Kluyveromyces lactis: one gene and its partner. The protein of the gene in region 1 interacts with the protein of each later gene in a pairwise test. Links are inferred from orthologs where the notes say so. Each region holds a gene or a part of one and is shown on either strand. Other genes may lie near its edges. The genes, in order: KLLA0_F20900g and RIM1.

The links.
Region 2: the proteins of KLLA0_F20900g (region 1) and RIM1 interact in a protein complementation assay, tested with the Saccharomyces cerevisiae proteins (2 studies listed by BioGRID). The link is inferred for Kluyveromyces lactis from reciprocal best matches to the Saccharomyces cerevisiae genes FMP45 and RIM1.

What each region holds. Positions count from the first base shown.
Region 1 is NC_006042.1:1,941,427-1,957,524, forward strand, and holds KLLA0_F20900g (SUR7/PalI family protein), read right to left. Parts: upstream 9,055-16,098; coding exon 8,242-9,054; downstream 1-8,241. Other genes in the region: KLLA0_F20834g (uncharacterized protein), read right to left, coding at 590-2,440; KLLA0_F20856g (uncharacterized protein), read right to left, coding at 4,617-5,375; KLLA0_F20878g (uncharacterized protein), read right to left, coding at 5,953-7,395; telomere-binding protein CDC13, read right to left, coding at 10,361-13,084; KLLA0_F20944g (uncharacterized protein), read left to right, coding at 13,521-14,945; CHS1 (chitin synthase I), read left to right, coding at 15,443-16,098. UniProt on the Saccharomyces cerevisiae protein: Involved in sporulation and affects the sphingolipid composition of the plasma membrane.
Region 2 is NC_006037.1:552,654-568,351, reverse strand, and holds RIM1 (Rim1p), read right to left. Parts: upstream 2,926-15,698; coding exon 2,533-2,925; downstream 1-2,532. Other genes in the region: FEN2 (Fen2p), read right to left, coding at 256-1,572; chromatin DNA-binding EKC/KEOPS complex subunit GON7, read right to left, coding at 1,817-2,176; KLLA0_A06127g (uncharacterized protein), read left to right, coding at 3,755-4,264; SYP1 (Syp1p), read right to left, coding at 4,285-5,205; PAM17 (Pam17p), read left to right, coding at 5,622-6,212; SCF ubiquitin ligase complex subunit DAS1, read left to right, coding at 7,358-8,956; OAF3 (Oaf3p), read right to left, coding at 9,011-10,984; rRNA-processing protein LAS1, read left to right, coding at 11,702-13,072; DNA-directed RNA polymerase I subunit RPA34, read left to right, coding at 14,365-14,949; transcription factor TFIIE subunit TFA2, read right to left, coding at 15,054-15,698. UniProt on the Saccharomyces cerevisiae protein: This protein binds preferentially and cooperatively to single-stranded DNA (ssDNS). Involved in mitochondrial DNA replication. Stimulates PIF1 helicase activity.

The DNA of each region.
Region 1 (16,098 bases):
ATATTGATTATTTTGTATATTGCAAACGGTCACGTCTAGATTGATCTGCTACCTGTTTCCAAATTTGATGAGTTTAAGATGGTGATGTAAAAATCAGAAAAATATACGTACTGTTACAGGTATATATATATATATAATATAATAATGAGTTAAGGTATTTTCGTGCCACTTATCAATAAATGGAATTTATCTGTTCAGATGACATAGTATTATGAGATAAAAAAGATTGGTGAAAAATTTATGTTCATCCAGTGCTTCAAGATAAAAAATAGCTAGTGTAACTGGAGAGAACTAAGAAAACCGAAAAATGCAAAATAATGTTCCCGATGGCAATTAAAAACATCAAGAAACAACATTCATTCAGCGACGATGAGAAAAGGCACTGGGGGAAATAATAGGAAAAGAGATTTAACCGAATTGAAAAATGGTTGCAAAATAACATTAAAGAGTTGGAAACAAGACATAATTGATCAATAAAGACTTCAAGTGCGAACATAAGTCATTTTAACAACGCAAAAAAGGGTTATGACGACGTAAATATGAAGTGTAAGAAAAAGGCAATGGGAAGATGATCTTTTTATAATATTTTTCATTTGGAGAATGCATTTTCGTAGGAGTAATTGGTAGTAGATGACTTTAGATCATTAGTGACTCCATTTGCAAGAGTGGCAATGCTACTATTGTTACTACCAGTGCTTCCATTATTATTGTTGCTTGAACTTGGATTGCCGCTGATAGTTTTACCATTTTGAGCATTATTTGAGTTGCTAGTTGGTTGGCCAGAACCACTGCTTCCACTCCTTCTGCTGTTTGGACCACGAACACCAAGTGGGTTTTTAGAGAAACTCAATCTAATTCCACCTTTGGTGTTGTGTGCGCCAACTGGTCTTGGTAATTGACTACCATATAATTCGGCTAGAGCTCTTGTAGCATGTGCGACGTCTTCAAACTCAACAAAGCACATAGGACCATGCCCACTGTTATTGTTGTTCTTGTTTCTGAATGATAACCTCTTGAATCCTTTTTGACCTCCAAATAGTTGTCGTAGTTCTTGTTCGGTGGCATCTGGAGGTAGGTTACCCACATAAAGTGTATTGCAAGGTGGATTTTGATCGGCTGGATTGGCTGGAGGAGGAACTCTTGCTAACAACGATAAGTCCACCTGAGAAATTCCAGGAGTATTCTGTAAAACACTTGCCACACTTCTGGTGATAGGTTGTGACTGAGTAGAGTTGTTAGCGTTAACATTAGTTGCAGATGAAGAATTACTAATGTTGGTTCTGCTGCCAGATTTATGAGGAGTATGCGACGTTGATGAAGTTGGTGTTACAGGTTTAGAAGACACAGAAGCTGAGGACCTACCGTTCATCTGTTGGGCGACACCGACCTGTGAAGATGGATCAGAGTTTGGCGGTAAATTTGTCGCACTTGAATTGGCCTGTTGAGGGCCAGAGAAAACGGAACTGCTTTGCTTTCTAGCAGCACCATTCTTGGATGCAGACCAATCTACAACTGCATTTTGTTGTTGTTGATTGTACGTGGTATTTACCATGTTGTTCACAGTAGAGAGTGAAGGGTTTGATCCCCAAATTGTGTCATTAATGCCATCTCCTTCCATTAACAAGAATGATTTACCAGCATCGATGTTTTGCAGTGGAGTTTGAGCAGACGTTTGTGCAGGTGGAATATGTGGATTTTCTGCGCTGAAGGGATCAGAAAATGAGAATCTAGACCGTTGTCCTAGCAGACTGGGCCTTTTCCGACTTGATGATTGGGGAGGCGATGTCAACGTTGGAGCAACGTTTGAGGATACGCTTCCGGATGATGGTATTTGAAATGAGTTTGTGTTCAGTTGTGGCTGCAACTGAGGTGAGTTTGTCTGGAAAAACAGCTGTTGATTAGTTAATTCGTCGATGACCTCCACCGCCACCTTGAATGGATATGCTGGACCGAATATTTGGGATTTGATATTAAGAATAGAGGCATATTGGCATGCCAAATGCTGAGATTCAAATTTTGCCACCACGTACGGTTGGTTATCTTCATGAGGTATCACATCAATGGATAGTACACCATGAGCCAATGAGAAAAGGGCATAAGCCTCCCTCAAGTTTATGTCGGTAGGAATATTGCGCAATATCAATAGATAACTACCAATGGATGGGGTTTGTGGTTGATTTCCAGTGTTAATGGATAATGTGTTCAGTACCGATGAGAGGTTTAGTGGTGAACCACTGTGGTCCGAGTGGTGGCGAGGTATTGTCGAACCATTTGCATGTGTTGGCGATGCGTTGCTGGGATTAACTGCTGATAACTGTTCAGAGCTAGTACTGAATCCACGATGCAGCTGATAAGTTGTATCGAAGGAAGGATGGATCATCATGGGGTTTTCGTTGATGTTATTGGAGTTTGGATTTGAGTTGATATTGCTTATTGGCATATGAATGATGGCCTCGTCGTAAGAATGATCAATGTGTGGAAATGTGCACTAAAGTAACACTAATGCCAAAAAAAGACGATAAATGAGATGAAGAGCGAAGATTCACTTTTTGTCAAACGCTCAAGAAACTCAATTAAATAGCAGAACAGAATAATCACCAAAGAAAACAATGTTTTGCTTTCGACAAAATGCTGAATAATTGTTGAACTGTGTGGTGTCTCTCTATCGACTGGAGTTCTTCTCTAAGGTTAGAATATTGGTGGATGAGTTCACTGTTTTTTTAACCAATCACAAAAGGATGGGAAGCAGAAAATAGAAGAATAAACTGCTATTCTCCAGGTACGTGAACGAGTGAAGTACGCAACTCCTATCTCACTGTTACAAAATACAATTGATAATGTTCTGAAACAGGACTGTACTCCTATGATTCACAAGAAGAATGAGACTTTTTTCCTTCTTTTCCCTCTTCTCTTTTGTTTCTTGAAAGTTTTATGTAACCCTTTTGTTCTTTAGGAAGTAATTAATTTTTTTTTATCAAAAAAAAAATTCCTTTAAAAGATATCGATCGAGATGGGTTATTTCCAAGAAAATAGTATGTTTCCAAAAACCAAAAAAAACAAAGATGAATTTTAAGAAAAGGAAACGAAATGATAAAATAGGTATAACAAAGAAAACAGAAATGAAATCTTACGCTCAATGAGTTTTTTGGACTTAGGCCTCTAGAATTGATTGATCTTGGTCAATTAATGGCCTTTCGTTTCTTCCTGTTACACTGTCGCCAAAAAATCCTTGTAAAGACAGTTTTCTGTCGGAACACGCTATTTCGTAATGCTGTTATTTTTCCTGTTTTTCTCTAATTCAGCGACTTTAGTGCCCTGTAAGTCGATGCTCTGAATTGGTGTCTCTGTCACTCTGCTCGAGTTTGCTCGTGTCGGTGATAGTAAGTATACGGAAATATAAACAACAAATAACTGATGAGCTTCAACGGTGACCGGTGTTTGCAGCTATGTTTGTGTAAGCAGCAAGTGTGAAAGTTGATTTCACTAAGTTCTTTCGTTCTTTTTTCCTTTTTTTTTCCTTTTTCTCGTTTTCCCTTTCCAACTTTTTAGACAATCATTTTTTTTTAAATTCATTTGTCTCACGATGCTGGTAATTCATTAAGTATTTTGATAACCATTAAGATAATGAAAGTGGGAAGAGATGCGGGTAAAGTAGAAAATGATCTTCGTGAGTAACACTTTAGCTCAGTCGTTTCTCCTCTGTGCTTGCCAAAATCTTTTTTGCGCGATCCCTTTGGTCGCTGCGCTTTCTACCTGTTTGACCAAAACTATATATTTTATCCAACTACGATTCTCTTGGGCGGGACTTATATTCTCTACGAATGCCAAAGCGACTGATTAATTTAGTTTAGTTACTTTTTTAATGAGATTGTCTGTATTGTGTCGCTGTTGAAGCACATGCACGTCGGTTTACTCGTGGAACGCGTAACTAGTCAGTGTGATAATTACAGACAAAAATGGGGGAAAGCACTCACCACGATGATTCACACGTGATAGTATACTTCAATACTTTAAGGTTGTCGTTTTTGACTGTTATTATTTTCAAACATTTCAATACGTGGCAAAAATATGGAGGGGAGGAAGGAGAACAAGTAGCTATACTACATCCGTAAATACATTCTTAGAAAGCTTGGCTGAACCGAAAGATATATTCAAGACAAGCGTCCCGATGATTCGATTCTTTGCGGAAATAAGACTCTTGGCCGTCTCGAATTTTGTAGTCATTGTCTTATAAGCTCTCTCAAGATGTACGAGTACGGAATCCTTTTAGTCGCATTGCACAGCCTAAGAAAGTTCGGTTGCCATATTGTGAAAAAGTCCGTTTCAAACATGAAACCGGGGGGAGGGTTCTGCAGAGTCTAATTCGTTTCTCGCCACAGTGGCCGTTGGAACCCTTGATGATTTAGGTAGGGTAATGATTCGTATTGTGTGATTACATCGCGTGATCTGCGGTATTGAATTCCCGTCCATAACGAAGTGGATTGGCGTAATAATGAGAAGCAGGACCGCAGTCAAGGATGGAATGAATTTCGGCTATAGAGAACTCCCCGTCAATAAGAAGTTAGTTGAAAGTTCAAATGAAGAGGAACAAAAGAGTTGTGTAGGCTCTTTTTATTTCATCTCAGTGTTTCTGCCAATTCTCTAATCTCTTTTAGATTCTCTCTCGGGTAGTGGTCTTTTTTTTCTGGTTTATCTAAGCAGCATTGTGGTATGTAACTCCATCTGCCATTTGTGTTACATGCTTCAATTTCCCTCGAACTAGTTAGATCCTGACAGAATTTCAAAGCTTCGGAGATTTTTGCATCAACTTTCGCACGATTATCGCATACTTCGAAGAGACCAATCTTGTCTTTCTTGCTTTCCGCTGTAGACTCCGGTATCGTTATTGGAGAGTAATTAATTTGATATCCATTGTCAACGCTACTATAAGATGTAAAACTTGACATCCTGCTTGGTCTCCGTGACATTGGAGAGACAAGACTATCTTTCCTTACGCCCTTATTAGTCAAACTGGCATGCATTACGCTACCGTTATGCTCTGTTGGTGTCTCAAACATTGCGTTTAACTGCATGTCACAAATACTGCTTCGAGGAGACTTAATTGCATCTTTGAAAACAAACGCCGAGTCTAGTGTTTCCCTTGACGAAATATCTTTGTTGAAATGTAGCTCTCGCCAAATTATGTTTTCATCTGAGGCAGATGCTTCAACTTTAGTTTCGATTGGAAGTATGGTCTTTGGTTTATCTTTTTTGGGGGAGTTTGACAACTTTTTATTTTTAGCCGCTGAAGTCGCCTTTTCCTTAAAGTTCTCCTCTTTCACCTCTATTGAAGCTTTGATTCCTGCTTTAATCTTACTTGTCCTTTTTTTTGCCATTGTAACCTTCTTCTCGCCGTTTAGAAATATAGGTATATGCTGTTCATGTCAAGAATGTGCTCCTCCCTGTTGTTTGTAGCTTCTTGACGTTGTATTTTCATTTCTTGTTCATTTTATATGAAACAATATAAAAAATTGTGATATTCCATTGTAAAGAAATGAAACATCAAATCAAAGGAACGTGTAGATAGCGTATTCTCCGTTATTCAATACGGCTTGGAACTTTTGATATGACGAATTAGAAAACTGTGATATCATATTATTATTGAGAAAGCTATACATAAAATATGTCGACAAAAAAATGACTGTACAGGATGAGTTAATTGCTAATGCTGAATACTGATAGGTTGCAGTTTTATCGCAAATTAGTAAGAACTAACTTATAGAGTCAGCATCAATCGCCGAACTGAAAACTGATGAACCTGATGTGATTACGACCAAAGAGAGTGATAATTGTTGTGGAGAAAAGCTGGAGGGAAATAATTCCTGCATTAAAAATTGTAAAAAAGTAGGTGTTTTATTAAGGCTCATTCATAAAGATAGCAACGCATTCTACGTCATTACCAGTGAGGAGATCTCAATGTAAGGTTGATTTGATAGTGTTTGAGATCTTGTTGACAACGTTTCCATTCTCGTCAGTGGTGTGAGTCTCCTTTTGTTGCACAGATCTTGGAACACCACTTTTGGTATCGTATTGATATCCTTCTTCATGTTGCGATAAACCATGCGACTTTGCTTCGGAAGTGGGACGATCTGTGTTTCCTTGTTCATCAACTGACACATTTCTTGTATGTCTATTGTTGTCTGAGGATGTGTATGCATTCTCCGTGGAGTAAGTGTTCTTATCGGGATCTACCAAGCTTTTCGAATTTCCACCGTATTCAGAGGAAAAAGTGCCTGGAATCTGGTTATCATGACTGTCACCAACATTACCGGATTTTTTCTTAAGGTCTTCTGCTGTTAGAGCAGCACCCATCGTAGGCGGGATAGAATTCTTCTCAGCAAGTGCTGGAATACCTTTCGATTTCACGGTCCCTTTAATCTCACCATTATTAGATTTGTTGGATGCTCCTCCTCTGGTATCAGAAATATGAGTATTCCCCATGTCCTGCTCCAAACCATACTCATTCTGAGGATCTGAACCAGTTTTTTGGGATTGCGAAGAAGTTTTACGCAAACCGACAGCACCCATCACAGAACTCCAAAGACCTGAGTCAGCAGTGTTTTCATCATGTGCAGCATTTCCGTCGTGCTTCACGTTAGGATCTAAGGTATGAGAAGTTCCTTCATAAGCCCTACTAGAAACGTAATTGTTGTCAACGTAAGTTCCCTGCATGTCTTGGGAAGTGTGTTTTTGAGCATTTTTATGAGAGCTATCGCCAGTGATTGGTTTTTCGTTTTTCTTCTCGAACACATTGGTGTCAAATTGGTTAGGATTAACGTACTGTGATGTGTTATGGAATTGATTTTGTTGGCCGGAAGACCCGCCGTAAGAGCCATCGTTTTGACTATCAGTAGCATCGATAGCAGAGAACTTCTGCTCTTTAGTCGTGTTACTACCAGTATTCCTTGAAATTCCAGTGTCGGTTGCTACAGCATTGGAGCTTTGCTTCAACGCATAGTCATTACCAACCAATGGTTCACTTGTCGCATCATTTATTCCCTTGGAAGGCATTGATTTTTGAGGGACAGATCTATTGTACTGCGTTTCAGAGGTAGCAGACTTTAGGGTATGCTTGGCAGTCGATTGTTGCGATTCACTTGAATGAGTGTTCGCAGGTACTGAAGCTGCCGCAACCCTAGTTCTAGCATCTTTGGCCTCCTTATCCTTGAAGTTACCGTAATCATACTTGTCTTGAACATTATCACGATGAGTTTGAGATTGTGATTGGTGTTTGGACACGTGTTCTTTCCCCAAATCAGAATCATTGACTGTGTGCTTAGTTGGAGAATTTGACTCCTCTTGTTGCTTCTTAGATTTGTCAGAGTCGGACTTTCCACCTAGACCTAAGGTAGCCATTATAGCATGTTTGTTGAAAGAACTCTTTCTTCTGTGCTTCCCGGAGTCTTCACTTTGAGGGCGAGTATCTCTGTCATAAATGTCTGTCTTCTCGGTATCTTTAGCGGCATATTTGCTAGAACCGGCTAACTCTTGGCCATTCCCCGATTTCAATGGTTCGCCAATATTTTTAGTAGTTGCATAGCTCTTGCTATCGTTGGTATGAACTGGCGTATCCGAGGAACCAACATTAACATATTCTTGTTGTTGAGCGTTTCTGCCAGGATGGTGCGAGGATAAGGGCTCATTACCTCCAAGTACCGACCCATGATGCCCATTCGAGTCGTTCAAGTTTCTGGCATGAGATGGTGCTTTGACCCCAGGTGGATGATCATCGAATGTGCCTTCATTGCCATAAGATGGATAGCTCAGACCGTAATTTTTCTTATCACTGTCACTTGGGAAACTTTCATTGTAGTTTTGGCCAATGTTGGTTCCAGGCTCTGCTTGGTTTCTAGATGTTTGCCAGTGATTATCATGAGGGTAAGCTTGGGTCCCAGAGGTAGTTGTGGTTTGTTGGTGAGAATTGTTCAAGTTCCCTTGATTAGCTGATGAAGACTGGTAATCCTTTCTGGAAGGATCGTTGGATTCCTCTTCATGACCTTCGAGATTTTTAACCTTGTTAACAATGTTGTTGTAGACGCTAATTAAAAGAAAATTGGAAATAATTATTAATATGTGTTAGTATTGGTTTCAGATGGGTATCAAACGGGAGAAAAAATGTTGTTTTCTAGTGAATGGCGTTTTTTTATTGAGATTCGAGTCGTTATGTTTAATTAATTTTGATTTGACTACTTTTGACTACAATTAAACAGCAACGGTGTCTTTCTTCTTGTAGCGAAGTTTCCACCATTTGATATTTTGACGGTTGTTGTCATTGACACCGCTTTCATATGTGTGCTTGTCGACGTTGTAACTATCATCATGAGAGCTAGTACCCTCATACGGTTGATAAGTGTTTGCTCCTTTGACTTTCTGAACACCAATTGTGACACTCAAAATTATTGACCAGAACGAACTTAATAATAATAAGAACACTGAGGTCCATAAAAATGCGAACATCTTGGTGTTCATCGATGCTGAACGACCGGCATCACGGAAAGTGTTACGACCTTTCACGTAACAAGCTGTGTACAAACAGGCTGCCAATGTGATGAAAAATAAAGCCAGCCAAATAGAAACAGTAGACAATACCGCACCGACACCAACCTTGAAAAAGGATAGCAACACAGGAATCAATGCGAGTACCACGAAGAATAAACCAATCAACAACATTGCCCAACCAACACGACTTAAATAATAGTAGGTATTACGATTATCTCTAAATGATGCTGGAAGATCAGGACTGTTTCCAAAATTGTCTCTAGGGGAAAATGGTAAGTCCGCTTGTTTGCCTGAACAACTTCCGATTTCACCATTCTCATAAGCACACCAATGGTAATTGAACCATCTTGTAGTATCTGGAGCACCAGGTAACCCACTGGTGTCAGCCTCAAACCAATAGAATTTGTCCAATACACCAGTAGTCCTAGCACCAGACAATATAACAAAAAACGTCAACAAACCAGAACCCAATAAGAAAAGCAACGATAACGAAGAAACGAACCCTTTGAACTTCATGATATTATTAAAAATTAGTATTATATGGTTATTATTTTAGCTTTGATTATGGAGAAGAAGAACAAACTGAGAGAAACAAAATCACACCAAAACAATTAACAGAATTAAAAAATCCTTTCATCCAAAATTAGCTCAAAAGGTAAAAGGTTACAACTCAACTTGGACGGTCAACTCTTTAATCTTGATGTCTTTTTATAACAAAGTCAACCCCTTAAATTAATATCGGTAGATTTAAATTGTATACCTTATTCTTTAACGGAAGCAAAAACAAGACGCCGAAAAGAGCAAACATAAATGCCTACTGCCACACACCCTTTAGAAACCCTTTTTGCCCTACTTTGAGCGGTCATTCAGAGCAATAAAGTTTCTTCTGCAGGATGTTTCTCTTCAAATGCTTACCTCCCCTAATTATTTAGGTACTGAGTTTCTTCTCTGTTTTCTTTTCGACTGTCGGCATTTTCCTTTTTCCAAAGTTTGCTCCGGAGAATAAGTGTCAAATGGCTTATATAATCCATGTCGAGAAAGGCAGTGATAGCAAACACTCAGTAGAGATATCCTGCACGAGACAGTGAGTGGCAACTGGAGGCATTTGGATGAGAGACTTGTCGAGAATTAGAAACCGCAGTCAATATTCACAGTTCAATAGTGTGCCCATTCGTTACAGGAAACAAAATGGACACTTGAAGCCTTTTTTTTGATTATTCTGTCAGTTGTTCTCCGTTGGATAATAATTGCCTTGCTCAAAACGCCATTTCTATTTCTCAGACCTCTTGCATTTGGACGTTGAATACTCTGAATTGTATGATTATCTCCGAAGGATAACAAAACGTATCCTTGCTTAGCGATTTATGATTATATAATCACTAATGTTCCTTCGGCTAGAAATCATGTATATTTATGGCATTCGAATCCAACTCTGTGGTTTCCCGATCTTAGAGGTGTTATAACGTATTCCCTCAGCTTCGAGAAGACACTAAATGGCCATGCATATGTTACGATTTTCTTGTTGCACGTTTCCTTAGAGAATTTCGTTGGCCAAAGCTTGAATTACATCACTTATGATTAATAGAGAGTTATTTGGTCAAACGCACTCAGAAGTGATATTAAAAAATGAAGTATCCTTCTTATCTGATTATCAGCATTATGTGTGAGTTGGTTACTTTCTAAATTATTACGCATAATTATACGAGTATTCTATTTTATATTAAAAAATTATACAAATGCTACCTCCGCTAGCGACGCCAGTATAATGACGGTGACAAGCTTTCTTCATGTAATGAAATCAACTTCAAAATACGCCTAGTTCTTAATCAATATCGGAGAGGTTTTCGTATTTGAGTGTGTCGTTATCATACTCCAATCTGCTGTGAATCAGTAAGCTCTCCAATGTTGCATAAATAGGACACCATATTTTGATGTATAAATACTCATTGACGCGCAGAACTCTAGGTATCAATGTGAAGTCCACAATAGAACCGATGCAGGCGGTCAGTTCTTCCCTCTTATAACTATAATTTGGATTCCCGAAGAAAAGTGTCAAGTTCTGTCTCCCCCAGATTTGCACCTTAAGAAGTTCTTCGAAAGGGTTTTCAATTGTACATTGAGTACCGACCATGCCACTACGAGTAAGGTATATAGTCACATTGTTACCATTGTCGAAAATACTTAAAATTTTAGCAGTAACTTTGATGTCTTTGTGATCCATTTGCACGTTATTCTTAATATCAATAATGTCAACAGTTTTAGGATTTCGGGTACCAAATAGCTCAATGGGACGAGTAGCAGCGTCTTCTTCTATTTTGTCAACACCTTCCCTCTTCAATTGGTTCTCAAGCTTGGCAATTGAATCGTCTTTTGGGTCTTCTGAGGAACCGGCAGAGTCATAGAAAGCTTGTTCCTGTAGCAGTTGCGGATTCTCAGACATTCTATTCTTGGATATTGGCAAGAAGCGACTCATGGTTAACGTGTACAGTTGTATGACCTCTGATGGCATCCGTTTAAATATTTTATTTCTTAGAGGCTTCAATAACTTGTATTCCTCAGTGGTAACTGGCGTGGTAGGAGTAATGGGATCGGCGTCAAGTATAACAGTGTTTAGCTTACCTTGAAATAATTGACATTTAACAGTGAATTTGAATATGATACTTCGATGGGTAATATTACTGTTGCCTTTATCTGCACATTCCATTAAACCCATCTTGATTATTGATTGGAGTTTTTCGTTTAATGATTCCACCCGATTTAGATATATCAATGCATGAACGTGCTCATTCTCTGGTATTCTTTCCTGGAAACTACCCAAAAAGGAATCGTACCCATAGTTGACTTTGGGGTTAGCCGTAAAATCTGTAAAAGACAGAACTAGCGTTTTACCTCCTGTATATTTCACGGTGACCGCAAGTCCAATAACTGTGTAGTACCTCGAACTCGCTGAAGGAACAATGTTGGAGACACGTACTAGTGGAAACTTGTTCTCTGTGAAGGTGACTTCCTTTGGAGTAGGAAGAGCAGATCTGAGGACCACGTCCTTGAGAGCCCATTTACTTGATTTTGCTGCTCCAATAGTAAATTCCTTCTTGTAAATGGTTATGTCGTATCGATTATTGTCTATCAGTTCCTTCAATTCAAGCAGCGAGTTCTTTATTGAGTGTGGGTAGGAACGAACCCCGATCTTACTGAAAAATTTAGCAACGTTGGTGATGGCTATCTCGTAACAATTGTACTCCGGTACAAAAACTGCTGAAAGGAGAGGTAGTTCATATGTATAAACATAAATTAGAAGAAAATCATCTTCTATAAGCGAAGATTCAGGATCAAGATATTGATTCGGTATAAATCCGAGAATTTTACCATCAGAGATATGATAGAGCCTATCAGTTATTGCTTTGGAGATCGAGTCAGGTTTTAAATCAAACGGATCAGACCCTTCTTCTTGTATTGTTCGTGGTTGCTCAAACTGAGACTGAGATGAGATAATAGGATCATATGGTAATTGATATGAAGAAATATCCAGGTCCTGCCTGGTTACTTGCCGATGATGGGTCAAGGCGCCCAGATCTGTAAGTTTAATTTTTTTTACAGTCCCACTTGAAATAAAATCAGAAGTTGACATACCTTTGTTGCTCCCTATTGGCCTCTTTTGTTCTTTTGCGCTTTGTATTATGGAATCATTGCAAGGATTCTGTTCTAAAGAACTGAATTGAGGCGTATCACTTTCGATGGCAGTTTTAGTGGATTCTTTCGCGACTTGATCTGCTTCTCCATCAGGATTGGAACTAATTGATTGAAGAGGTAATGTATCTATATTATGCTGTTGGGTTTGGGAATCAAATTCATTGAAACTGTCGTTATTCACCTCTCTTTGTAAACCCAACTGGAACAACGGATTCACGATAGCTGTATTTTCTTTCGGAAGTAACCTGGTGGGGGGTGCTTCTTGTAGAACCAAAGAATCGAGGTACGACTGCATTTCAGTACAGTAACTAGTCAGGCTCTTGAATTGAAAATCAGCGTTTCGTTTTTCTCTTTTCAATAGGTTTCTAAACAGCTTTTCGATCGAAGGCTTGAGTAGCTTATATTCATCTGCAGTGGATTGGTCAAAGTAGGATTTTAAATCCAAAAGTTTCAGTTCATGAATCTGTAGAGATGCTTTATCATAAGCAGTGATAAACAACCCTTTCACGCTTATCATTCCCATGTAGCGCTTCTCTAATTCTTCTAACACGAAATCAGATGAATAGTCCAAACCGGCTATTTGCATGCCCAACTTCTCGAATAACGAAGAAAGAACCATTCGGAGTAATACATCGCATTCAAAGCTTTTATTTTTTATCTTCCCACAGTAAGTGTTCAATCCAGCTTTACCATTGGTGAAGTTATCGAAATGGAACAGGCATTTATCGTTTTTAGTATATGCTACTTTACTGAGAATTGATATAAAGTGCACGGGCTTCGATACAATTGATCCATGCTGATAGTATTTGTTCAAGCATTCAGGACCAGGAATATACTCATATGGGTACTTTTCCATGGTGCTCGCACTCCATTACCTTTTCCTTTCTTTAACTGAAGTTGTTTCTAACGTTTTTCTTCAACCTTCAATGCACCGTTTAATTCATTGGATGCGCTCATAAAAATCATATCTCAACATGGAATTAATATAGAGATGGTTCCCAGATAAAACAGCGCCAACGGCTGCGAGCAACCACAAGAGAGCCAAAGCACCGAATTGAAATGGCAATAGGTGAAAGGAAAAGTATGATAATTGAATGTTTATCGAAAATTTAACAATACATTATTTACTAACATTTAGCCAAATGATATAATCAACTGTAGGGAATTTTAGATCAAGAAAGAAAGGGTTCGCAGAGCCTAAAGTTCTAGTGACGCAGGACGAGTGGTACAACGAAGCAGTAAAGATCGAAGATGGCGCAGAACGTTGGTTTCTTTCCGATATAAAGAAGACTATGAAGGGATATCTGGAGGCAATGCGAGCTTATGATAGAGCCTTGATTTCTGAGAAACCTAATAACGATGACACATACAATATCCATTATAACCAAACTAGACTGTTGCTTAAAATCTATACTGATTATGTGAACGTCGATGGTTATATCAACCTGCTTCAATATGTTAATTTAGATGGAATTGATTCCGTAGAAACCTTACTGGTGACCATTGACGCTATTATCAAAAGGTTTGAAACTGTTGTAGAGAGTTTCCCAGAGGAAGTTGGATGGGATTTGCTATTCAACCTATTAATATCGTATTCTACCTATGTGGAATCTCAGACTAATATCCCAGGCGAGACTCTAATCAACATTGTAACAGGGTTCATTTCGCATTTCCATCACATCATGAGATTAGAGAATGAGCTATTGGAGAGTGTAGATATGGCAAATTTGAACGAACAGGAAGAGGAGGACGATGTTAGTTCTTATCGACCAGATAATTTAGCTGAACAATCTCAAGTAGATCTTCGCACCGGTACTGGCATCAAGACCAGAGGTGCTGAGAACGAGGATTACGGGTTGGCCCTATCTACTGAAACTTTTGACAAGGAAACTGTCGTTGACACTGTTACTCTAGGCTACAAATTTGTATATGAGATAATGGCAAATCAGCTTGAATCCGAGAATACTGCTCCCGGTAAGATAATCAATGTTGCACAGAAGAACTACTTGGAAGAATTGTTGGTAAAGTTCATCAACCAATTGGATGATATGGTAGTAACTCTAAAAATAGGCCAATCTGACGTCCAGGAATTAGTGATAGCGAAAAGGTCAATTGAAAGTCTGAAACTTTTGTATCAAGGAGATCTTCACATGTTTCTAGATACCTTGGGAACGACTGATGAAGATTCGATGATGAGCAATGTTGAGCTTTTAGATATGGCAATAAATACTTTCTCCACTGAGAACAGTTGGCAAATTCGAACGTATCTATCAAGGACATTGGGTAAATTACAAACGATACTTGCCGAAAGACAATCCAACATTATTAGTGGTAAAACCAAGAACAAAGACAACGAGTTAAGCCCAATCGTTTTCAGTTTATGCGATGTCATGATCAACAGAGCGGATAATGAGCTTTCCAGGTGTCTACTAAAGCAAACGGAATTGAACCAGCTGCAGGGACAATCGCACCCGGAAGAGGATATTGTTAAGACCATCGAATTATTACAACAGAATGCAAAGACCCTGTTAGTGAATGCGAAATCCATCGCCCATAGGTCTTGCGGCTTCAGTGAATACATCACTGACAAGTTGAAAAGAAACTACATCTATGGACAAGCTTCCATAAGGTTAGACATCATAGAGTCTCCACGGACTAGAAAAATACCAGAGGACTTAGATGATCAACCTTCATATCGAGCTCTCTGTATTCCTTAGGGCAGAACTTAATTCCCAACACTGTCGTGGTATATAGACGGCAAGTAGCGAATACACTTGTAGCCAACACTTGATATATAGCATCAATTATATCATATACGCCTATAAACCTTGGAGAAAGGGTCCACAGTTTCGTATATATCCGCCACACTATCACCCGACAAACATTCTTGCATCTGGGACCCCTGGGCCCTCTGCCGTTGAGTTGCGTACTGTCTTGTATCTTTTTGTACTCTTCACATGACCGTTTCAAGGCTTTTCGATGTATTTATTTTAAGAAACTACTGTTTCAGGAAATGATATCGAAATCTGAACGTTTTCCTGTTTTCATAGTACATAAAACCAGGGAAACTTTTTGTATTGACATATTGGAATTTGATCTGAGACGTGGATGATACAAACAGGAGGCTTAGGTGAATAAGGTTTGAGGATAGGTTGGGGTAAACGTTCAGTAGGATTATCAAGGGTTGTGAAACCGGCAGGTTCAATATATAAAAATGAGCTACAATTATAACGGCCAAGGTTATTACCGATTCGACGGTGATGAACATAGGGCATCTCACCAAGCTCAAGAAAATAGTTATCAGATGTATGAGCCATCTGAAGACGACAGAAACGATGAAAATCATAGGTACAGAACTGCTGCCGGAACAGATGAGCAGTATAATGGGTTTGTGAACCATTATCCGGAAATGGGTGAATATCGCCAGCCTGGTGATATGTCCCAATACCAGGTGCCAAATATTCAAGTGGATGCGTCAAGTCCTATAGCGAATACATTTGATCCGGCGTATCCTGGGCAAACTCCATATGTGCAAGCAGATTTTAATGATAATCAGTATTACGGTAGAAATTCGTATCAGAATGAGCAAGCACCTAGTATTAACTCCGCGACCGATTATTATGCGAATCAAGATACAAGGCCAATCTTGGAACAACCTCATCAGTTATACAATTACCAGCAACAGGATGATATCGAAAATCCTATATACGTGGATCAAAACGGTGATGATTATCAGATCAACACTTATTTAAACAGTAAAGGTGATATGGTGGATCCATTCGAAGCTGGCCAGCGTGGTGAACCGTCGGAGTGGGATATCAACGATTATGTTAGTAATTACGACGACGAAGACGGAAGCAGTTCTTTCGG
Region 2 (15,698 bases), on another chromosome or scaffold:
TCATAAAGCTTTTGTTGACAACTTTCTCATTTTTCCATGTTGCAAAAGAATTTGGATGGAAACAGCCATTTACGAAGTCTTGAGATCATAGAAACTGAGATGCGATGAGATGAGATAGGAAAACTTATGAAAAATCCGTAGTAGGTAGCACCATTCACTTGGTTTGATAGTATATATAAGACTGCTAGTCCGTACCTGCTGATCGGATGGTTATGTAGGGTGGGAGGAAGGGAGATAAAAATGCAACTATACACTTTATTCTTTGATCTGTTCTTCCGGATCTGTATATTGAGATAGATCGAGATCGTCTCTTTTTTGTAGGTAATGGATCAGTAGCGATACAATTCCGCTGCTTATCGAAGTAGCCATCAATGCGTAGCATCCATTAGTAAACTTGGGGGCCATTGATGTGGAGTAGAACAGTAGAGACCACCAAGCGTTGACCGCACCAGAGAACATATTCATTGATGCTAGGACAATGGCTCTTTCTTGAAGATCACCACGGCATACAACGTTGCACCATGCAAAGAAGAGAGTTTGACCAGTGTAAGAAATTCCTCCCAAGTATTGAGCAGCGAACATAAACTTCGGGTTTAATGGGTTCGTCAAGATCAATAGAGAAACAATGAACATGGATATACTGATGAAAAGGGCAACGTGCCAATGCTTGGCGAAATGAGAGTATTTATGGACATATAATGATGATGCCACTGTAGAAACGATCCCAACTGCATATATTCCGACAGGGAACCTGTTCTTGTCAGCTAGTGAATAACCTTGGTTATCAAGCCAGATGTTGAAAGTTGAGTTCGATGCAAATGAAATGTTCTCACCTCCAAGCACCCACACAAAAGAGAATAACCACCAGTGCCACCTGGAACCACACCTTTTGAAGATGGACCAATCCAATGTGTCTATTTGTTGTTTATGTTTCCCCGTAAAGATCCACGAATTCTTGTGATTTGACTCTCTTGCATCAGCATCTGGTTCTGGAAAGAAGAAAAGTCCATACAACGCGATAGGAATTGTAATCAACCCATCAATGATAAACAACCATTTCCACCCGGGCAATCCTGCTTTACCATTTAATGAATCATGGATAGCAACTTGTAAGAACCCACTTGTCATAGCACCCAAAAGCCCGCTGGATGTGAAGATAGCGGTTCTAATCGGTAGTTGGGAGGGAGTATACCAGGACCCAAGAATCAAATGGGTACCACTGAAAGTACAACTTTCAAACCAAGCTTGAAAGAAACGAATCACATAGCACTGCCATACGGAATCAATGCTGAACATTGACAATGTCAGAATACCCCAAGCAAAAGTGCAGAAACTCAACCAAATCCGAGGTTTGATTCTCAATAGAATCAAATTATGAGGGATCATACCTAACAAATATCCAACGGTGAAACACGTATTAGCGATATTGAACTGATTTGACTTGAACCCGAGATCCTCTTTCATACCGGAAACATAAGCATTGGTGAAACCGATTCTATCCACATAGTTGATCCAATATTGCAAGCAGACAAAAGAAAGAACGGTCAAATCGACCCGAAATAGCTTGCCCATGGCGTGATTACACTTTGATGTTATTCAGCTGTCCTTCTAGGACTCTTGGCGGTGTATACCAGTACCTATTTCTCTCTGAAGAGATGTCACAATCTGTTGACTCACCAACTTTAAGATGATCAAAAAACCGGAACGATATAGTACAATTTGATGACACTATTTATATACAAACAGATAATAAGTACGTATAAATACCATTCAACACTCAAACGACAGAATTCGAAGCTCTCGATCTGCAGAATCTTCAGGTTTCTTCAGAACCATCCAATAGATCGTTTATCTCTTGTTCTTGCTTGCTGTTACGAGGTTTTTTCACGTGATTGATCTTCTCAGTCAAATACTCATTGATATCGTCTTGTAATCCGGTCAATTGCATCCGCAGTTGCGAAAGCGTGGTATATTGATCGATTCCTGTCTTACTATTGACGTTATCAACCTTCTTTGGGTCACTAGGTTTATCGACGTCTTGATGCCCTTGTTTCAATACATAATCTGAAGCACCAGTAGTTCTTCCCTCCGTAGTCTGGTACCTGGGGTCAGAAGGATCGACTTCGAATTCATGAGTTGATTTGGGTCCGGTATATGTAGCGTGTGGTAAAGACATTGGTTGATCCTTGTGTTCGATACCCTTTTTTATCTTTTTAATACCTTGTTGATGAGATGAGATGATGATTTAACATTAGAAATCTTGACAATATGATAAATAAGAAATGCTATTCATCAGAACATGTCCTGTGACACAATGGGGGAAAAAAAAAGGCATACTAGTAGAAGTAAAGGCTGGGAGTGAGATTCGAGATGTCCTTGATAGAACTTATTAGATAAAAACAGTATTTATACGTAATTACTAAGAGACAGAGAGAGTATATAGAGGTAGTCAAAAAAATACTCCATGTGGAATAATACATTATTAGCAGCCGAGAGAAAACAACACGAATTGGTTAACAGATCACAGCATTCTTAAGCTTGTTGTTCTTCTTCAGTTTCAGGTGCCTTTGGGTTCTTCAACAAGTTGATATCCCTTTGAACCAAACTCAAACTTTGGCCCCTGGAACCATCTTCTCTTTCGAAAGTATAGTTAGAAGCATCAGCTTCGATGTAAACCAAAGCACCTTTCTTGACGTATTGTGTCATGAAATTGATGTGGTTAGTGTTGAAAACAGTGACATTGAACCAGTTTGTGTTGCTGTCCTTTCTTGGCTGAGAAGCAATGGAGTATTTCAAGTAACGAGTATCGTTAGCAGTAGTAAACTCTTGGTATTCGCTACCAATACGGCCGATAATGGACATCTTGGCAAAATCATTGGTGCGGGCAGTGGCCGAAAAGGCACGGCGTTGGGCTAATCTGAACATTGGGTGTTTAATTGTTTAATGATAATGATAATTTATCACTGGGCTGGGAAGTATAACTGTATTTTCACACGTATTCTTCTCATACTAATTCAGTCTTGATATTTGTTAAGGTAATTTATAAAACCGAATTATATCAAATGTCTTTATAAACAAAAATGTATATGAACGGAGAGTAAGAAATGGCACATTTACAATAAGAAAGAACATGCAGATGCGGGAAAAGAGAAACCGTGGCAATGTTTCGCATTGCAAATGGAGATTCTAGTTTCTCTTGTGACAAATTAGATATCAGAGGCGTATATTGTAATGTTTATGCTGTCATGAAACGAGTGCATTTGCTGGTATTTACGTTTATCGCGTCTTTACCAGTAAGAAACTCTTCGAGTTATCACCATTGTTATCCGGGTAATTGAAGCATGTGATAATCACGTGCCTTGTATTCTATTGTCATTACCCGGTTTTGAGTCAATGTTTCCAACATGAAATGCCCCTCGTTGGCTTTGTCTTTCCCCTGTCATCTCGTTCTTTTAAAGGCCTGGTATCTATGCCTGACTCAAATAACAAACTTGACTATCTTCGTTACAGATTGACTTGAGTGCGTTCATTCTAACCCGTGGTTTACTCTAGATATTCTGAGTACTGATATATAAACGAGTACGTTCACAGGAACAATCTCTGTGGGTCTATTACTGGTAAATTGTGGAGTGTGTGATAACGATATTATTTAACGCAGTTTAAGTTCAAGTACAAATTCAAATCAATAATATATAGACCAGAACCGGTCTTATAAAGGTTATTTGGTGGTTTAACAGGTTGAGAGCATTTCCAGATGTCATTTGGTGTTAGAAGGTTCAGCAAACGTGTGGTTCGCACCAGCGCCAGAAGTGATGATATATTATCCGAAGAAGCGTGGCTTGATTTAGATATTGGCGAGTACCATGTGGTGAATGACCCATTGGTATTGAGTTCTAGTAGCGACGACGATGAAATGGAACAGGAGGACCCCACTAGAAGGATCGAACGCTGGATGAGCACGAATGCAGTGGTACGAATGCAAACTCCCGATATTGCTTCTGTTGATGACGATTACTACCAAGATTATAGCTCTAATAGTTCGGATGCCGTTTGTCTAGTGGTGCCGTACCTTTCGGAGAAACTCTCTTGTTTGACGGAATACCAGTTGAGATGGGTTCACGATTTTGTCGCGGAAATGTTACCGCTGCTACCCAGGAAATCCGTGTCTCCTGTGTCATCTGTCTCGACATCTTCCTCATCGTCTGAGATCTCTTTTAAATCGTCCAGAAACGAAAAGTACAGATTGCCAAGGGTTATAGTCTGAGTAAAGATAACGCTTGACAATCACTGGGCCTTATAGTTCCCAGAAATAGTCATTACGTTTAACGGCAGGTCCGTTAATCTGGTTGGTGAATATCCGTATTCCACGTTAACCTGTGTCAACAGCTGTGATGCGGTAAAATCTATACGAACATGCGGTGGCCCAATTGCTTGAGATGTGACAACATCGGTTCGTTGTCCACCTTTATATCTCAAAATCAGAATCTGATCCTGTTCCAGCATGGGCAGATCCCATTGGATGGTACCATCCACTTGGTTATAAAATCCAGTAGGTTTAGATAAAATATCTTGGGCCTTGGTGCCTATCTTTATACAAACTTTCAATAGTGTATAATTGACAGGAATTAAAGGTCTTAAATTGATCATTGAGATGATCTCGGCCTCTTTGAACTGCCATACGGGTGTCACTAGAATCGGACATTGAACCTGTGGTAAATTTGTCACTGCATATTTCACTAATCCTGTAACCACGTTGTCCCATTCGCGTTCACGTTTCAATTTGTATATATTCTGAACCACATCCACTGGCTCCAGGAATGTGTCGTTAATCTTAACGGAACTAACATTATTGAATTTCATATACAAATCACTCGTTCTTTGATCCCACTTGGTACCATTGATGGCAACTTCGCCAACAAGTGATACGTTCGTTATATTATCGTCTGTGATAACACATGACAAAGTCTCTACTATATCACCATTAATCTCTGGTAATGGTGGTGACTCTGAATCTGGTCCTGATTCTCTCAATTTCAGTATATTCTCCCTCTCCTGTAACTGTAGCAGTAATTCCTTGGATCTGACAAGTTCCTGGGACACTTCAGAGAACAATTCACTATTACTATCGAATTTTGTCTCTTTGAGTTCTTCTAGCGATTGAATATAGCCCTGCACTATTTCTGCAAAAGCTAGAACATCAGACATTATAACAGAAAGACTTACTTTTTGAGACGTGCAAGGCAAACAATATAACCTATAACTATAATAGACAGCTTTAGAATAGTGAAAGTATCATGCAATGATGAACGGACGTAACATATATCTGTATCAAATGAAGATCTATTCGAGATATAACACCATTTGATCAAGAGATTGGAAAAAGCGGTACTTTCATTACCCGGACGTGGATATTGAAGCTTGTCAATTCCAAAAAAAAGTTTGGAAAGCTACCAAATGAGCTTATAACATGATTTCAATAAGGAATGTTCGAGGGGTGGATCCAGATCACCTGTTTGAACTAGCATCAAACAGCCAATTCTTCTGCTGTGTTACTCGATAAGTAGTATACTCGGATATCAGAGGCAATAAGAACCAAATACCACGGAAAAATAGCCCAAACTATGTTGAGACTAGGAATCAATCTACAGAACCGTCTTTTGGTTGGACTAAATGGACAATCTCTTTTGAAAAGAGCCGTTACACGCAATGCCGTTGCCATCAGAATGAATAGCACTAATGCTGGTAAGACAGCTTCTCATGAAATGACATGGCCAGAATTCTTCAAGCTACGTAAAAAAGAACGTGTTTTCAACACGGCTTCTTCGGTTGCGACAGCCATAGTATTCGTTAACGGTTCGTGGTTTTACTTCTCCACTTTGGAAATCGATCCAACTCAAACAATCTTTGGATTCGATCCACTAATGGCAATTACTGCTGGTATGATCACATGTGCTGCTGTTGGTTGGTTATTGGGACCAATTGTGGGTACTGCATTGTTTAAGGCCACTTCCGGTCCCAAATTATTACAGTTTCAAGAGAAGCAACTTTCATTTTTGGCCAAAATCCAAAAGAACAGAGTCAATCCTCAATCACAATCTTTCAGTAACCCTGTGCCGGATTACTACGGTGAAAAGATTAATTCGATACCACAGTACAGACAATGGCTAAGAGATTGTCATTCTTACAAAAGAAAGGCTAGTGAGTTCTTGTGAAGCGGAAAAATACCAGAAAAAGTATGATGACTATCACTCTCCCACCCAAGGAAACGCCTTTCCGTAAGTACAAGTAAATAGTAAATAATAAATAGTGGTTGATATCTAAAGAAACATTCGTTAAATCAGCATTAGCAATTGCGTAATGGTATATGCCAGAGAAACCGGAATGAAAAGGATCGATACCCAACAAAAAAAAGTATATTTGGATGCGGCGAGGTTCGAACTCGCGCCTGTTAACATTAACAGACCTGCATATTCCGGGTAACCGTGTCCGTCACTCGCAATCCACTTCTGCTCTACCCGCACCCAATAGCCGCCAAGCAATCAGTGAAGATTTTCTGGAGGACCCACAAATTTTTGATTTTCGGACCAGGCCCCTTACAACTCGCACAAAACTGCGTAGAAAACCTCTGTTTAAAGGTTTAAGGAAACGGCTATCGCAATTTTCTTGGCCCCCCCAAAGGTAAAGCAGAATGTGTCAATTGGAAAGCGACGGAGACGGTTTTGATGCCGCATTGAGTCCGCATGCTCATTTCTTGTCCCTGAAGCAGGCGCCTTAACCACTCGGCCACACACCCAGTTCTTATACTGTTAGTAGTTCAACTAAATTGGGAGTAGTTCTTCATTTCAATTTATTATATTCCAGCGCAGTGTAGCCCCTTTATTAACTGGGTTAACTGGGTTTCTTCGATAATCTACCGGTTGAATATGGGTCTATTTACCCCAGTTATATACCATAAAATGGCTCTCTGGAAGTTCTTCTTCAAGGTACCCGGCTGTTCTGTCTGTTCTTTTCATTGATGTCGCGGGTTTGATTGAGGAAAGGAACGCATAACGGATTTCCGTACAATGTGATCTTCATTTCTACTCACGTGACTTTGATTTCAATTTCTTGGAATTCGAAACTTCACTTCCGTTCGTTCTTTGCCAGGAATTCATTACCCTTTAACATGCCTACCTTATGCTTGAATACAATAGCCCAGTCATTCGATTCTTATTGCCGGCTTCTACCATCAAAAACACTAAACTTCTTTCACTCTTGATGGCTGTATGCTGTATATTAGAGGAGCTTTATGTTACTAAGAGGAGAGATTGCTGTTTAAAGACGCCGTACAAATTGCTCTTTTGATTACTTATTATCCATGATTGATACATTCCCACTGGAATCACTTCCAGACGAGCTTTTAGCTGAAGTCATTACTCATGTACCGCAGCGAGATAGATTGAACCTATGTTTGGTGAATAAACGGGTTTCAAAACTAGCACTGCCGATTTTGTATCGGAGAATTTATTTGAACGATTCGAATGTAGTAGAGAGTGATATAGTCAACCTCGCTATCAACTGGACATACTTGTACATGCCCCCAAACGAGGCAGAGTGCTGGTCTCGTGGGTTGGCTAATGCGAAACTTGATCTTCTTATACGCACTTTATCTAGGAACAGTGAAAGGTTGAATTCCATTCAATGGATACGGATTAATTGGGATTTGGATAAAGAGAAGCAGGCAGAAGTTTTAAGGTTGCTATGTACGTACTCTAAATCCATTATACGATTGGAAAACGTTACGGACCCGGATTGTAACGATATTATTGCAAATGGAATCCAATCGCGTCATAATGTCACCAGTTTCGATAGTGCCCCACCTAATTCCATGCCCGAGGGAGAAGTTTCCAGAACGTATTTGCCTAATTTAGCTCAATATTTAAAGCAACGGATTTCTTCTAACTTGTCACACATGACTCTTTTCATGGATCCCATCCAGTTGTTCAATTGCATATACCCATTGCAATTTAAATTGCAAATCCATGACTTGAAACTACATTGGAGGAAAGAATATTATCCGCCCGATCAATTGAAACCGCTGAACCAATACCCGAAGCTTACTAAACTTTCAGATGTCTTCGATGTGAGAACTTTAAAGGTGTTAACAATCATATCATGGAATGAGAATTTGAATAAACGAGAATTGGAAATTTTGACTGAATTTTACGAGTTTACAGAAATTCGGGATTTATCTCTTATATCTATGAGACAAAATCCAGCCATACTCATCGAACTTTTCAAACGTTTGAAGAATTTGAAAAGGTTGAAGACAGATTTTTTGCATGAGTTCACTCCACATCCTGTTTCAACGGATGTATTCCTGTCCATTTTATTAAATTGTAGAGAGCTACAATTCCTAGATTTGAGATTCGAAAATATCGACAGGCAGATCATTTCTATCGAGGGGTCAAGGTTCAAATTCTTACATAACTGCCATTGTGATGATTGTAATCATGTGTTTCAGGATATACTATACGGTAAATTTTTCAATTCGTCGAAAGATATGGTGATCAGAGATTTAAGCGATTTGATCGCTAAGGATATATTCACAATGATGAAATACCTCTCTTTATTACCTTATTCAAAAGCATTTGACATATACCCTTCTGTTAGGACACAACCAATGAATCTCTCGGACTTCGTCACCAAGATTAATGAATACAATAGGCACTATAAATCCATGCATAGAAACTCAACCCCGATTGAACCCATCACAGAATCTGACGTCATCAAGTGCTATCATGCAATGGTTCATCACAATAAAAAGACATATACAACTATACTCTCAAATTTGAAAAGATTACGATATTTGGTTTTGAACGACGTACCTTGTATCGTTCTCGAGAGAGAAGGTGCCCGTGTTCCTGTTCCAGTTTTCTTTAATAATGGTTACAAATCGAATATGGGAAATTGTTAAATATTGTACTTTTCTATACAAGGAACAAGAGGGAAAGTACCAAGCCCAAAAAAATTATGGAAGAATGCTGTCCATCTTGGGGAGTTCACCTACATCCATCCCATAAAAGAGGTCAAAATCTGTTGAGTCAAAGACTTGTTGCAAAAATTGAGTGACATCTATTGCATCTGCCTTGGCCGAATGCCTCTCTTCTAATTTTTCAAGAGCGTGCTGATAACTTGATGAGAAGAGATTTGGTTCGTAGTTTTTACACATCATTTCAACTTTCAAATTAACTACTTTTTCAGTGAAACTGAATCTGGCATTCCAGACTTTTATTACATCGTCGTCTGACATTTCTGCGTCTTTACTGGTTATACCCAATTTTTCTAGAACTTGATGATTCTCATGTTTTAGAATCGTCAACATATGATCTAATGAATCCTCTCTATTGATCAAATTTAAAGTTAGTTTATATTTGAACAATCTTTTGAATACATGATAATAGTATGGGAATTCATTAAAGTACGTTGTCAATATTTTATCCATTAACTGTAGGATTTTTTGTTTGCAGGGGTTACGAGCTCTTAGTATTATTGCTGGCAAGAGAACTAGGGCTTTATTCATTGATATCTCTATGATTCTACTGGAATAAGACACAGGCGCTAATGGTCTAATGAAATGCTCATTCCATAGAGTAATTAAATCTTCTAATGATGCGATAACGGCCGAGATCCCTTCGTTAATATGATTCAAGCGTCCATGGTTGATTTGTAACTTTGTCACAGCAACAATAACTTTCCATTCCCAGGTAACCATGGGGTTCTGCTCTTCAAAGTTTAACTTGTTTAATATTTCAATAGCGAGTTTATAATTCACGTGTGTAGGATCATCAACACAACATTTTAAGAATTTAAGAACTAAATGATCATTAGGGAGTTCTGGTACCCTCATTGTCCTTCCATTAAACGTGTCATTTCCATTCAACACTGCTAACTTCCTATCCCAATGTAAAGCGTTTATCCAGATATTTTTACACTCATCACTATCGACATTCGTCCATAATTGCCATGTAATTCCAAGTGATGCGCAATGGCCCATAATTAACCCCATTAATCCGTCGTTGGCATTCATACGATTGCCGTCGTTATCGTGGTAAGTACACCAGTTATGGAATCTCAAGACTAGCCATACCCTTAACTGGAGTAGAGTTGTCTTTTGGAACCATTTAGATTGTACTAACCATTTTTTAATAATATTAATATGGTCCTGAATCAACCTATTATGAGAATCGAATTCGAGGAGGAAAAAATTGATGATGAGGTACGTTAGCATTAAAAGAGTAGACTCGTGTACCTTGTCGTTCAATTTGCCCGGATGGTCTTTTTGGCGTTGAAAAAACTTTTCTAGTAGATCCTTCAACTCAATAAGATTGAATACAGGCACCAACGGATGAATCTTGTCAACGAAGTATGGATAATATTTGGACCAAAATTCGTATTCATACGGTACATATGTCTCCGGTATTGGGGCAGACCGCAATGCTGAGAACTCCCTAGCTATCTGATGGTATAGTTGATCTTCAGACTTTTCTGACCGGTTGTACATGGTTACGGTCTTTAACGAATTAGGAAGCTGCAAGACGGTGTCTCTTTCACTACGATCGATACCTTTACTGGCACTTTTCCGTAAAATATCAATGACAGCGTTTGTTATTCTTAAATATGGATCTCTGTCACATATAGCGATGTCTGAGAACAACCCATTGAACCACGAAGCTGATCTTTTGCTTAACAGATGTAGCCCTTTAGGAGCCATATTGATGAACTCCGGTAATCCAAGATCATCCATATATTCGTATCTTACTTTTTTAGAAGCATTCTCATCCGTATCCTCGGAGTAAACACACGTTTCTCCCAGCTTTAAACAGTTACTGCACGAGGGCTTTCCTCTATCACATTTCGTCTTACGACGCCTGCAATTCAAACATACAAGTGTAGGTCTATGTCTCTTCTTAACTGGTACCGGAGATAGCATTTCGTAAACCATAAGACGATTTGTGTGCAATTCACTCCCTGACTTTCGTTTTACTGCACTTGTAGTGTTTAGCGTCTGAAGGCGTGTCGGTTGATTCTGTATTACAAACGTTCAGACCGTTCCTGAAACAAAAAGTATTACCAGACCGGCGTGTATTCGATTTAATCGGCGTGTGAAAAGCAGTTTAGCAGTCTTCGCTACAATTGATATCCAATTCGAAGTTTACTTGTCCTTTCGGAGGCCATACACGAAATTGTTTCTTCATGAAAGAAGACCATTTGTGATTCCGGCAGTTTTATTTCGAGATTATACTTAATTAAGAATTTGACACCTAAAACGGATTGTCATTTAAGAAGTACTACATAATGATATTTACTGAAAATTATTCTTGCATGTTAAAGTACGTTAAGTGTACTACGTTATTCGAATCTCCCGACGCTTACATACTACCAATATCCATCTAATATACGATGACATTGATAATATTTCATTTGCTTCCTCTGTATTGAAAGTGGGCTTTGGATATCATTTCGTCATATTCGAAATTTTTCAATTTCGATGAAAAAACAAGATCCATGCATACTCGGAAACAGAGCGATGAGATGAGGTGAGATGATATGACTTAATATCACATCTAATCTGGTATATATATCTACAATTGTTGTTTCTAGCAGTTTTTCGTGATTTCTGTTTCTTTCATTTGGTACACAACCCTACGAGGAACTCCCGATGAGAATAACGCCTTGGAGATCGAGATCTGAGCTTGAACAGTTGAAGCAATGGTTGTTTGTAGATGATACTCCAGCATCGAAGAGAAGGGCCATACAACGAATTGACGCATACCTTACCAGGGGTCCATATCTCCCACATATAATAGAATATACGGTCCGTTTGATGCAATGCCAGTTGAACGACCCTGGCGAGGCGCAAGACGGCGATGATATGGAATATTTGAAATGGCAGTACTGCATGGTCTTGATTAGGTTTGTGAACGGTATGTTAGACCCAGTGCAACAGGCACAGTTTGCTATCCCATTACACACACTTGCTGAAAATATAGGGTTGCCCAGTTGGTTCGTTGAGTTACGTCATTTGAGTACACATGAAAGAGAACTGCCTAGTCTTGAGATGCTACGATTGTGTTGCAAGGAAGCGATACAATGGACGTGGGATAATTATTGGAATAATGATGAATGGGAAGAGGAAGATCAGGACTTTGATGAGGCTGAAGATGAGGATGCGACTGATGATAATGACGACTCAGAAGCCAAGAAAAGGAAATCACAGTCATCTGTTCAACTGAAATCCTTATTCACTCAGTATACTGGTCTCAAGAGATTATTGAAAGAGAATGAGTACCTATGGAAACGTCAAAGAATTGCTAGATCAACTTTTGGTGAGCAGGACTCAACCGAGGACGAAGAAGTTAGTGATTGGTTGACAGTTTTGAAAACTGCCTGGAAACAAATACACAAATCAGATTTCGTAGAGTATATGATCTTGCACTGCGACGAAACCTTGTTAGAGATATGTTTTCATTCCTTAGACACATTCCAAGTCAGGTGTATAGAGTGGCTAATAGAAAACTACGAGAAGAGGATCATGAATGAAGAGACGAAGATTACGGATCGGTTCTCAAATCATAAGAAGCTCTTGAAATTCGTAAATAAGTGTTGTTCCATGGTTAACGGCAGAAAGTTTTTGAGTAATGGATTGTTTAGTAATGTGGTAGATAAGTACCACAACTATCTCGTGTTACACATCTTAAAGAATTTGAGTAATGAAAGTGGATCTAGTGGTAATTACAGCGGTAGTAAGTCAAGAAAGAAGAAGAAAGCGAATGAGATAGACGCGAAAAAAGTTATTGAAGAATTTGAGGCAAAGGGGATCAGGAACGTTGAATTAGAGCTCTACAATTCAAGGAAAAGGACGTCTTCTGAAGAAATAGAGCCTGTTTCGGAAGATTCCCCGGCCTTGGATATATTGAAAGACTTGAATGAATTGAAAAATCAGTTCAAAAAGATCAAACAAAGCAATGCCCCCATCTCCAACTGGCAAGAAGTCACCGAGTGGACGCCTAGACCATTTGGCGTTTTGTAATTAGTATAATTAAGCCTTTTAGATACATAAGACAAAGCAAGAAAGATTGACAGTTCTACAGGTTCTGCGATGATAACAGGATTGAAAATGGAAATGGATAATAACATATAAAAAGATCAGACATCCTAGGAAGGTCTCAATAAAGAGCGGTCACTGAAGAGTACTAACGATGGGTTCGTAGGCGTACTCCTACCGTGGAAACTGCGAATGTAAAGGAACCAATTTTCATCATATAAAAAAATGTTAAAATCCATAACGCACAATCATGTTCTTAGCTAAAAAGAAGAAGTGAAACGTTTTGAAGAAATAAATGCAACAGAAGATACGACGATGGATCTTGTTTCACTGTTACTTTGACCTTAAGAAAACTAAAAAGAGAAAACTCAGATGATCTAAATTGTACATGTCAAAGCATGTACTGGCTTAAAAAGTCGTTGCCCCGTAAGACAACAACATGGTAGACTCCCATATCGTCATGGTCGATATCGGACTGGGAAAGAAGTGTAGACCGTTTTCATCATCGTTAAATGTTTTGAAGTTCTTTCGTAAGGTATGAAGTAATAATGAATCCCACGTATATGCAAACTTTTACGTTTATTTCTTCATGGAAAAGGTCTCTTTTCCAAGCGTAACATAGACGAATCAGTGTTTCACGGCTGTGAAACACTGCTCCATCAAGGATACTATAAAGCTCACTTGCCAACAGCAAGTGAGGCTAGAGAACAACCTACAGAACTTTTCAATACCTAACCTGGATAAATGGTTTGATGAGTTTAACATGTCTAGTTTGTTTCTCATTACCAGCCTTTTTATATTCTTCGTGTCGAAGAAGCATGGAAAAAATTTTTGGAATAATTGCGTCGTTCGACATGATAATACAGTAAACCAAGTACTTAGGGCATCGATGTCATACCATTCAACGGGAATCATAGTATTAGTGATCCAATAAATGTTGCTCGAAGGCTGTTCAAGTCGGACATACCATTTCTCGATGGTTTGTGATGAACTGGAACAGATTTCATGAATACGATAGTTTGTTCCACGTGTTAACCACGTGCATTTTCCCGGGTAACGTCTAAAAAGAAAGAAAAGTCTTTCCCAAGATGAAAAAATTCGGTTTAAGCTCATCTCATCTCATTGCAGATTCAAATAGACACACAGAGGCAGATAAGTGAGGTTCTGTGTGGTCCTAGGGTTCCAATTACAGTTTAACTAGTTCAGGTGAGTTTTTGTTACACCCTTCCCTGTAATATTATTCCACTCGCAAAACGTTATAAGAAATATCTCAAACAATGGCCAAGGTCGACAAAACTCTTTCAAAGGAATACATCAGTGATAGCGACAGCGATAATGATGGATCATCAGAAACTGTAACGGACGTTTTCGTTCCACCTGAAAACTATAAGAAATGTACACATTTGAAATCATTCGTGAAGCCTAAGAACTTGAAGCAAAAAGAACTTTGGCTTATCAAACTTCCTAAATCTTTAGATGTCTCTAAGCTTTCGAAATTACCTATTGATTTCACAGCGGAGTCGGAAACTGGCATCGAACAAAAAGGTAAACATTTCTCTGTGAAGGAGGAAATCCAACAAGAAAATTCCACTTCTGGTGCATCTTCTTCTTCTGAATTGACATTATTGACTCCTGTAGATAAGACAAAGTTGACCGTCGATTCATCTGCATCAAGATCATTTGATAAGATCTTTACCATAAGCGAAACTGCAAAGATTCCAAGCATTGATTATTCTAAGGTAAGAGTGGATAGAAAGGATGTGTTGAAGGTTAAGGGTCTCAAGACTAGACATTTCGCAACTGGGTATTACGAGGATAAAGATTTGAAGAAAGTTAGCAAAAAAAAGAGAAAGCACGACTAGAGCACTCGTTCTGGTCTTTCTGTATATTATTTATATATAACGCACTGGTCATATTTTAATTTGGGTTATATGTAGAATACGTTCATTATAAAAAGTAGGTATCTTCATACCCTATCGGAATAATCTCTCAATATACCAGCCATATGTGTATTGGTAACTTTACCCTTTCTTGATCTACGTTTCTTGACCTCTTTCCTTGTGGTTTGCTCATTCTTGATCGTAGCAGGATCCACACTAGCAGGCTTGAGACCCAAATCTTGTAGTTTTCTTGGTAATTCACTACGCTGAGGTAGCTTACAAGCTTCCCACATCGTAACGAACTCTTCATCGATTTGCCTTGATGGACCAGCATGGTTATACCAGACAAACCTTGGAGAATTATCCTTCTTTGTCCGAAGAACAAGGATTCTGTTCTTTGCTTCTAACTCGTCGATTGTATCAAAACATTGTGGCCAACCATCTTTTAACTCTTTACATGATATACCCTTGAACGTCGCCTGTGATCTTAATAGTTGTAGCAATTCCTCCGCAGAATGCACATCGTAAATGGATACGTACTGTAAAGTGTTCCTCTTTGGGTCAAACTTGAATTTTTGTAACCCCTTTAACATCGGAATCACATTATTATCCTTAGGTAACGAAAGATATGATTCGATTTGATCTACCGGTACTGCTTCCCCTCTTTCTTGGATATATTCTGTGGCTATAAGCATCTTCGTGGAAAGATGTGTACTATCCAACTGGCCCGT